Xenopus tropicalis: one gene and its partner. The protein of the gene in region 1 binds, or shares a complex with, the protein of each later gene. Links are inferred from orthologs where the notes say so. Each region holds a gene or a part of one and is shown in the gene's direction. Other genes may lie near its edges. The genes, in order: cul3 and kbtbd8.

Region 1 (3,820 bases):
ATGTATGAGTCTGTACCTGAGGGAACAAGGGAAAGCTCTTGTATCTGAAGAGGGAGAAGGAAAGAACCCAGTTGATTATATCCAGGTAGGCATAATGATCAAAATGACTGAAACTCTACCATTGCCAGGTTACGAGATAATAGAATTTATATTTTTAAGTTTTTTAAAAAGTTTTAGAGTTTTAGAACAGAATATTGCAACCTTAAAGCATTTGTCAGTCTAATGAAGGCATAGAAAGTTGTCACTTGAGAACTTGAATCCCAGAATCCATAACTTTGCAATAAAACAAGGTGCAGGAGGGGGATGCAAGGCACAAAGGGTCATTTACATCCACAAGAGCAGTGAGCAAAGAGCACTTTTGAGCATGGTTGACATGTTTTTCCCAGAATTCAAGCGTCATTGCTGTTGCAGGGGGTTGTTGCATTTGGTGCGAATGCGATGGATTTACAATTGATTCACTAACATTACCGCTACTGCACATGCATTTTGTTGGAAATTGGATGCAATAGTGCTGAAGTCCATCTAGTGTCATTTCTGCACCCAGTTCTTTAGGCACAAGTGCCCTGAGCCTGTTGACACTTGGAGCTAAAGGAACCCTGGAGTTACCGCCTGGTAAGGAGGTGGGTGGCAGCTCCAGAAGGCAGGAAGAACTGATTGGCGTTGTGTGCAACTACACAGGAATGCAAAGCGCACATTTTAATTTATGTACCTTGGGGTTTAATGCGCAACTGATTATGGGAAAATTGCAGGAGCGCAACTGTGCTTGTAAATGACCCCTACTGTCTGGGTAATGGTTTATACAAGACTATTATTTTTTCCGTTGCTTCTGTGAAATAGGAAATCTGAAAAAACACCTTTTTAACGAGCGGGAATTTTGTGCTCATAGTAAGTTATACATTTTGGCTTGGTCCCCTGGATAATAATGGGGTATGACCATGTGAATAGGCAAAAAATCATGTGTTTATTCATGTTTTCTAAATGTCTGCTTCTCTAAAAACATGCCAGATTTCTCAGGATTTATGCTGACATCTGCCAGTGGTGTTTTGCTATGAGCCCCAGGAGATACTTTTACAAAATGCGGCAAAAATGTCTTAAACTGGTTATGCTGCTTGTGCAATAGTTTTGTTTGCCTGGCATATCAGATAATTAAAGCAGTGAAGGGAACCACTTTTATTTGAAATTGTGATATAAATGGCAAACATAAGTGTAATTTATGAACATAAACATTCTCAACTGTATTTTTCAGGGGCTTCTTGACTTGAAGAGCCGGTTTGATCGCTTCCTCCAAGAATCTTTCAGTAATGACCGTCTTTTTAAACAAACCATTGCTGGAGACTTTGAGTATTTCCTCAATCTCAACTCCAGATCCCCAGAGTACCTCTCCTTATTTATTGATGACAAACTGAAAAAAGGAGTTAAAGGAGTAAGTACTGCATCCAGTGTGCAAGTAATTTTACATTATACTTGGTTACTCACCTTTTATTTTCTGTTTTTAATCCATATGCCTATTTAAGACTATCATTCAGGGTTTTGAAAAAATGAGCTTTAAAATTAAGCAGGCCTTTACTCATCGGCGTATGGTTTCACAAGAAGCTGCTTTAGGGACATAAATCTGCCCTGCAGAAATGGCAGAAATAAAAGGATACCAACATCATTTTGAAATTTCTTCTTTGCCTGTCCTAGGACCCAATATCTAAGTAATGGCCCTTTTTAAAAATGTTTTCCCCAAAATCGTACAATTTCTGTGGCTACAGAAGCACACAATTTTTAATCCAGCGGTCCCCAACCTTTTACACCAGTGATCCACATTTAAACCTAAAAAAGTAATTGAAAGCCACATAAAGGTAGAAAAAGTTCCAAAGGATTGCCCAATAAGTTCTGTGATTGGCTGTTGCTTTGTCACTTGTGGGCTACCTATAGTAGCCTCTGATTAGCTGTAGACTTGTTTCTTTGTGCATTTCAACAGGATAAATTCTTCTGTTCAAGGTAGGGCAAAAAGAAATATATGCTGTGAGGCCTTTAGGAGTAACATGAAATAGGGTGCCGAGCATCATGGTGCTTGTCTAGCTTAACCCAACTGCCTAAGAAGTATTAATGAAGTTATTTTGGGTTAGCAGAAATTTCATAACGGTGTAGGTATCCTACCCTGGGGCTTGCCCCACTGTCTCATTTGATTAAAGGTGCGGTTCACCTTTAATTCTTGGGCCGATTCACTAAAGGTTGATAACACATATCGCATAGTTTTTTTTTTGTTAAAAAGCATGCAGTAATTAAGTACCGATTCATCAAAGTCATTTCACATGCGTTAATCCGCATATCGTATGTGCAAAAAACCGCATCATCGCAAAGCGTTATTTCTAACTTATTGCGTTAATTAACTAATAAAAATAGTACTAACGCATGATTCAAAAACACATATGAAGCGTTAAATGCACAAAATATCGAGTTAATCTGTGCAAAGATTAACACCTACTTGGGGCAGGCGGTACTTAAAGAAAATTGCTGTTCGTGAGCTTTTGGCAGCTCAACATGGAGTTTGCAGTCGTATTTTTTCAAGTATGTTTTGGCCCTAGAGTGATGCATCCTGCAGTTTTCATCGCTTCTTAATTATGACAAGTGTCCTTTTAGTGAATTGATCGTTATCAATAAGAATTGATAAAATTTTTAACGCATGCTATAAATAGCACTCGTTTTATGGACCTTTAGTGAATCTGCCCCTTAGTGTGTTATAGAATGGCTGATTCAAAGCAAATTTTCAATTGTTTTTTTTATTTGACTCCCAACTGTGACTCTTTACAGGAGATTGACCCCAGCAGCTGTTAGCTTTTTATTACTTATTTTTCTCTTATTTTTCTAGGCCCTCTTCTATTCATATACCAGTCTCTATTAAACCACTCCCTAGTTGCTGCAGTAATTTGAACCCTAGTAACTAGATAACTACTGAAATTATAAATTGGAAAGCTGCTGAACAAAAAGTTAAATAATGAAAAAGCCACAAATAAAAAATGACCAATTGTAGATTCTCTCCGGATACTACTCTCTACATCATAGTTAAAGTTAACTCAAAGGTGAACAACCAGTTTAATTGTGCTAACACAATAACCAGTGGCATCAATACTTGTTACAGCATGGCTACAGAATGGACAGAGCTCTGTCTTTTATTTGTGCACATCTTCATGTTACAGCCCGTAATAGGTATATTAAGATGCATTTATTTAAATCACCATGCTTATGATTTCTTTGTCTTTCTTTTAAGCTAACAGAACAGGAAGTAGAGTCAATTTTGGACAAGGCAATGGTTCTCTTTAGATTCATGCAAGAGAAAGATGTGTTTGAGCGTTACTATAAACAACATTTGGCCAGAAGGCTCCTCACCAACAAGAGTGTTTCTGATGACTCTGAAAAAAATATGATTTCAAAGTTAAAGGTAGGTTGGGAATTTTTTTTTTCCTCATGTAAAATTCCTTCATACAAAAACTCAAAAAAAAAAAAAAAAAAAAAAAAGTTGAATTGTAAGGCTATAGAACAGAAACAACAACAAAAAAAAACCCACAAAAATAATTGAAAATGTTCATTGACTCTATATTGGAAAGGCTCTGTCTGTGTCAGATTTGAATTTTAAACTCTCAAGACCTGTGGCGTGTCTTGTTTTGACTGTGCAATTAATTATATATAAAGCTTAATTCAAGCTCAACAAAAAGAAATGTGATTAAGTTTATGTATTGGGCTTCTGCCGTGCTCAGTACCTCTACAGCACTTTAGCAGTGAAAATACATGCTTCAAAGCACCTAAGGCAGCAGCAGTCCCAGATGTACCCTTA
Region 2 (4,377 bases), on another chromosome or scaffold:
TGCTTGGGACCAAGGGTATTCCGGATAAGGGATCTTTCCGTAATTTGGATCTCCATAACTTGTCTGCTAAAAAACATTAATTAAACCCAATAAGGGGTAATTATATCTTAGTTGGGATCAAGTACAGGTACTGTTTTATTATTACAGAGAAAAGGGAATCATTTAACCATTAAATAAACCCAATAGGGCTGTTCTGTCCCCCAATAAGGGGTAATTATATCTTAGTTGGGATCAAGTACAGGTACTGTTTTATTATTACAGAGAAAAGGGAATCATTTAACCATGAAATAAACCCAATAGGGCTGTTCTGCCCCCAATAAGGGGTAATTATATCTTAGTTGGGATCAAGTACAGGTACTGTTTTATTATTACAGAGAAAAGGGAATCATTTAACCATTAAATAAACCCAATAGGGCTGTTCTGCCCCCAATAAGGGGTAATTATATTTTAGTTGGGATCAAGTACAGGTACTGTTTTATTATTACAGAGAAAAGGGAATCATTTAACCATTAAATAAACCCAATAGGGCTGTTCTGCCCCAAATAAGGGGTAATTATATCTTAGTTGGGATCAAGTACAGGTACTGTTTTATTATTAAAGCGAAAAAGAAAATCAATTTTTAAAAATTAGAATTATTTGATTAAAATGGAGTCTATGGGAGACAGGCTTTCCATAATTCGGAGCTTTCTGGATAATGGGTTTCTGGATAAGGGATCCCATACCTTTACACAAATCTCTGACGTTCTGCACACAAGTATATCCAAGAGGCAGGAACAAGGTGGCAGTGCCACGCAGCCACTACCCCTGGTTTGTCTATTTCTTTATAGATGAGCCTAACACATTGGCACCCTCCATTGATTTTGGCATTAGTTTCTTTAATTTCTGACCATAAAAGCTCTTAAACACTTCCATACAGTTGGGATATTTCAAAGGGCAAAAATTGGGTTATGCAATAAAAAGACACAAGGAGCAGTAACCCATAGCAACCAACCAGCAGGTAGAATTCACTGGTCAACTGTTTAAAACAACTGAATAGGTTGCTAGGCGTTACTGCTACTGGGCAAACATAGAGACTCGCATTACTGAAAGAGTCCAAATGCTAAGTTGCTATGTATCTTGTACTACACCAGGCCCCTCCCCTTGTGACACCCAATAACTCCTAGCTCCTCCCTTCAGGCGCCGCTAATAACACAAACTTGCCCCGCAGCTGCCTCTCAGGCCGTACCTTCTCCCAGCATGCCCTGCGCGCCTGTGACACGTCACGCAGAGTAACGCCCCGCCCACTCTTCACCCGGCTTGCCCCAGACAACAACAACAACTACCGACGTGCTTCGCGGCGGCCCGTCCAATAGAAACGCGGCAGGAACAGACTCCGGCAGCTGTGATTGGCCGATAAGCAACATCCGGGTTCCCCAAAGGAAGTAAGTGACGTTTCCTGCACAGGCTGGAGCCGGAGGAGGAGGAGGAGGAGAATGGCTGCACAGGGAGGTGGGTTGTTTGGGGCTGGGAGAGGCCGGCTCCGCTTTGGGTATTTGTAGTTGGTTTTGAGGGGAAAGCTTTTCTCCTATAGGCTGTGGGACTTGCCGCTTGATTAATGGAGGGGGGCACTGAGTAATTCAGGAGGTGGGGGGTAAGTATTTACACTCAAGGGCTTTGCAACCTGTGGCTTTTGCTGAACTTCACTTTCCCTGGGGGCTTAGCCAGCGGGTTTAGCCAGTGACAATTATAAAGCAGGTATCTGCTATTGGGCTTTATACAAGCGGGCCCTTGTGAGTCTGTGGGCTCCCAGCTATTAATGCTTTGAGTGCATGGAATGGTGCCCTGGGCTTTGTTGGCTCTCTGGGTCCTCTCTGTGGGTTATGGTGCTCCCTTTGGATTTATGTATCATGTACCTAATCTCTAGCACATGATTATAAGGGCATTTCATACTTTAATCCTAGGGCACGGTTGCCTACCCGCTAGGGCACGGTTGCCTACCCGCAAGGGCACGGTTGCCTACCCGCAAGGGCACGGTTGCCTACCCGCTAGGGCACGGTTGCCTACCCGCTAGGGCACGGTTGCCTACCCGCTAGGGCACGGTTGCCTACCCGCTAGGGCACGGTTGCCTACCCGCTAGGGCACGGTTGCCTACCCGCTAGGGCACGGTTGCCTACCCGCTAGGGCACGGTTGCCTACCCGCTAGGGCACGGTTGCCTACCCGCTAGGGCACGGTTGCCTACCCGCTAGGGCACGGTTGCCTACACCCCCCCCCCAGGGCACGGTTGCCTACACCCCCCCCCCAGGGCACGGTTGCCTACACCCCCCCCCCCAGGGCACGGTTTGCCTACACCCCCCCCCCCCAGGGCACGGTTGCCTACACCCCCCCCCCCCAGGGCACGGTTGCCTACACCCCCCCCCCCCAGGGCACGGTTGCCTACACCCCCCCCCCCAGGGCACGGTTGCCTACACCCCCCCCCCCCAGGGCACGGTTGCCTACACCCCCCCCCCCCAGGGCACGGTTGCCTACACCCCCCCCCCCCCCAGGGCACGGTTGCCTACACCCCCCCCCCAGGGCACGGTTTGCCTACACCCCCCCCCCCCCAGGGCACGGTTGCCTACACCCCCCCCCAGGGCACGGTTGCCTACACCCCCCCCCCCCCAGGGCACGGTTGCCTACACCCCCCCCCCCAGGGCACGGTTGCCTACAGCCCCCCCCCCCCAGGGCACGGTTGCCTACACCCCCCCCCCCCCCCAGGGCACGGTTGCCTACACCCCCCCCCCCCCCCCCCAGGGCACGGTTGCCTACACCCCCCCCATTCGCAGGGTGTGATTCCTGAACATTATATGCCCAATTTACAAGCCTCTTTCCTATGGCATTATTGTTACATACTTGTTGCCATTCACAGGGCATTATTTTGGCACCCTTCTGGACTTCCCACACCTCCTGTTTCCTACAGATGATTTTGACACTTTCTCTTCTGATCTTTTTACTTGCTACAGGCAACTGCAGTGGTGCATTTTAGTAAGTCACACCCATACATCACTATGCTAATTCAGAATCCTCAGTGTTTACACTATAGGACACATGCCTCCTAGATATAGCAGACTGGGTAAAAATCATAAGTTGAACTTTATACCCCATGTAGGATTCTGGTTCCACGTATCCCTTTACATAAGGGTTTAATTATTATACTTGGATACAATGTGCAGGATCTTATACCAATTACTAGCAACATGTACATCTTGTTAATGAACCTCAACTTCCACAGTCTGCTGGTATCATTAGTGCAAATAAGGGCGTTTGGGTGGAATTTTAATTTTTGTGGTAAGTGACTTATTAGAAGGATGATATGCTCTGGGACAAGGGGTCCGAATAAGTTTGAGGTTGTTTCTGGTTTATAGATCTACAGAGCACAATGACAACGTGACAATATTCCGTTGATCTCTACAAGGTGTTCAATTTGTATGAAAATGGATATCTTCCGGACCAAGTTTATTGGTTTCTCCCGACTGCTTTCCTGACAGATAAAATTTGGCCAAATCTCTGTTGGGCATGTTAAGGTGGCCATACACATTAAGATCCACTCAAATTACAACAACATCGACATCTGGCCGTCTCTCAGCCAGAAAACATAAGATCGTCAGGAGTCCTTTATACATGCGCAGATAAACTGCCGAATCGGTCTGAAGAACCCAAATCTGCCTGTGTATGGCCACCTTAAGGAATTCCTTAGTCCTCTTCCAGTGAGCCTGCATTGTACCTGATTTCTAGCCCAGGGCTAAACAATCAAATCTGCCTGATTTGGCCTTCACTTGGGTGGCCTCTGCCCTCTCTTCTCTTTCTTTGATCTGAAACACCCAAGGAAGTGTCTCTGTGCAGTTTATTGTGTTCAGTTCCCGTAGGTATAGCTCTGTCTCTTCTTTCTTTGTTCTGCAGTTTCCCTGGCTATGGCTCTGAATCCTTTACTTCATACATCACCCTTACCTATCGCTCCCATGAATATGGCGCAGACACCTTCCTCTACAGCTTCCACTGGTATGCTTCCTCTTCTTTCCTCTTTGATTTCCAAGGCTATTGTCCTGTAGTCTTATCTGTATGACTTTCACAGATATATCCCTTTCCTTGCTTTAGTCCCAGTGGGTCCCTTTTGACACTGAATTTCTGTGGGCCAGATCTTAGTTTGCCCATACCTATGAAAGTTGAAATAATCTCACTGGTGTACTAGCAGTATTGCTTAATTTAAATGGGTCAATTTTAGCTGCCGCTCCTGCCAAATTGGCAGTTTATTTGGCCATGAAAGGGTGCCAAAATAATGGCCTCCCTCACTTTGTGGGGGAGAAAGGCTTGGATATTCATCTTGGGCAAGGATCACATTGAGCTTTAAATGCAGTTTTATC

The links.
Region 2: cul3 (region 1) and kbtbd8 share a complex: the UniProt entries of both Homo sapiens proteins name them as parts of the BCR(KBTBD8) E3 ubiquitin ligase complex. The link is inferred for Xenopus tropicalis from reciprocal best matches to the Homo sapiens genes CUL3 and KBTBD8.

The regions. Positions count from the first base shown.
Region 1 is NC_030681.2:123,808,429-123,812,248, forward strand, and holds part of cul3 (cullin-3), read left to right. Parts: coding exon 1-85; intron 86-1,246; coding exon 1,247-1,423; intron 1,424-3,256; coding exon 3,257-3,427; intron 3,428-3,820. UniProt on the Homo sapiens protein: Core component of multiple cullin-RING-based BCR (BTB-CUL3-RBX1) E3 ubiquitin-protein ligase complexes which mediate the ubiquitination and subsequent proteasomal degradation of target proteins.
Region 2 is NC_030680.2:143,295,674-143,300,050, reverse strand, and holds the start of kbtbd8 (kelch repeat and BTB domain-containing protein 8), read left to right. Parts: upstream 1-1,417; 5' UTR 1,418-1,472; coding exon 1,473-1,488; intron 1,489-1,547; exon of another isoform or gene 1,548-1,630; intron 1,631-3,916; coding exon 3,917-4,015; intron 4,016-4,377. UniProt on the Homo sapiens protein: Substrate-specific adapter of a BCR (BTB-CUL3-RBX1) E3 ubiquitin ligase complex that acts as a regulator of neural crest specification.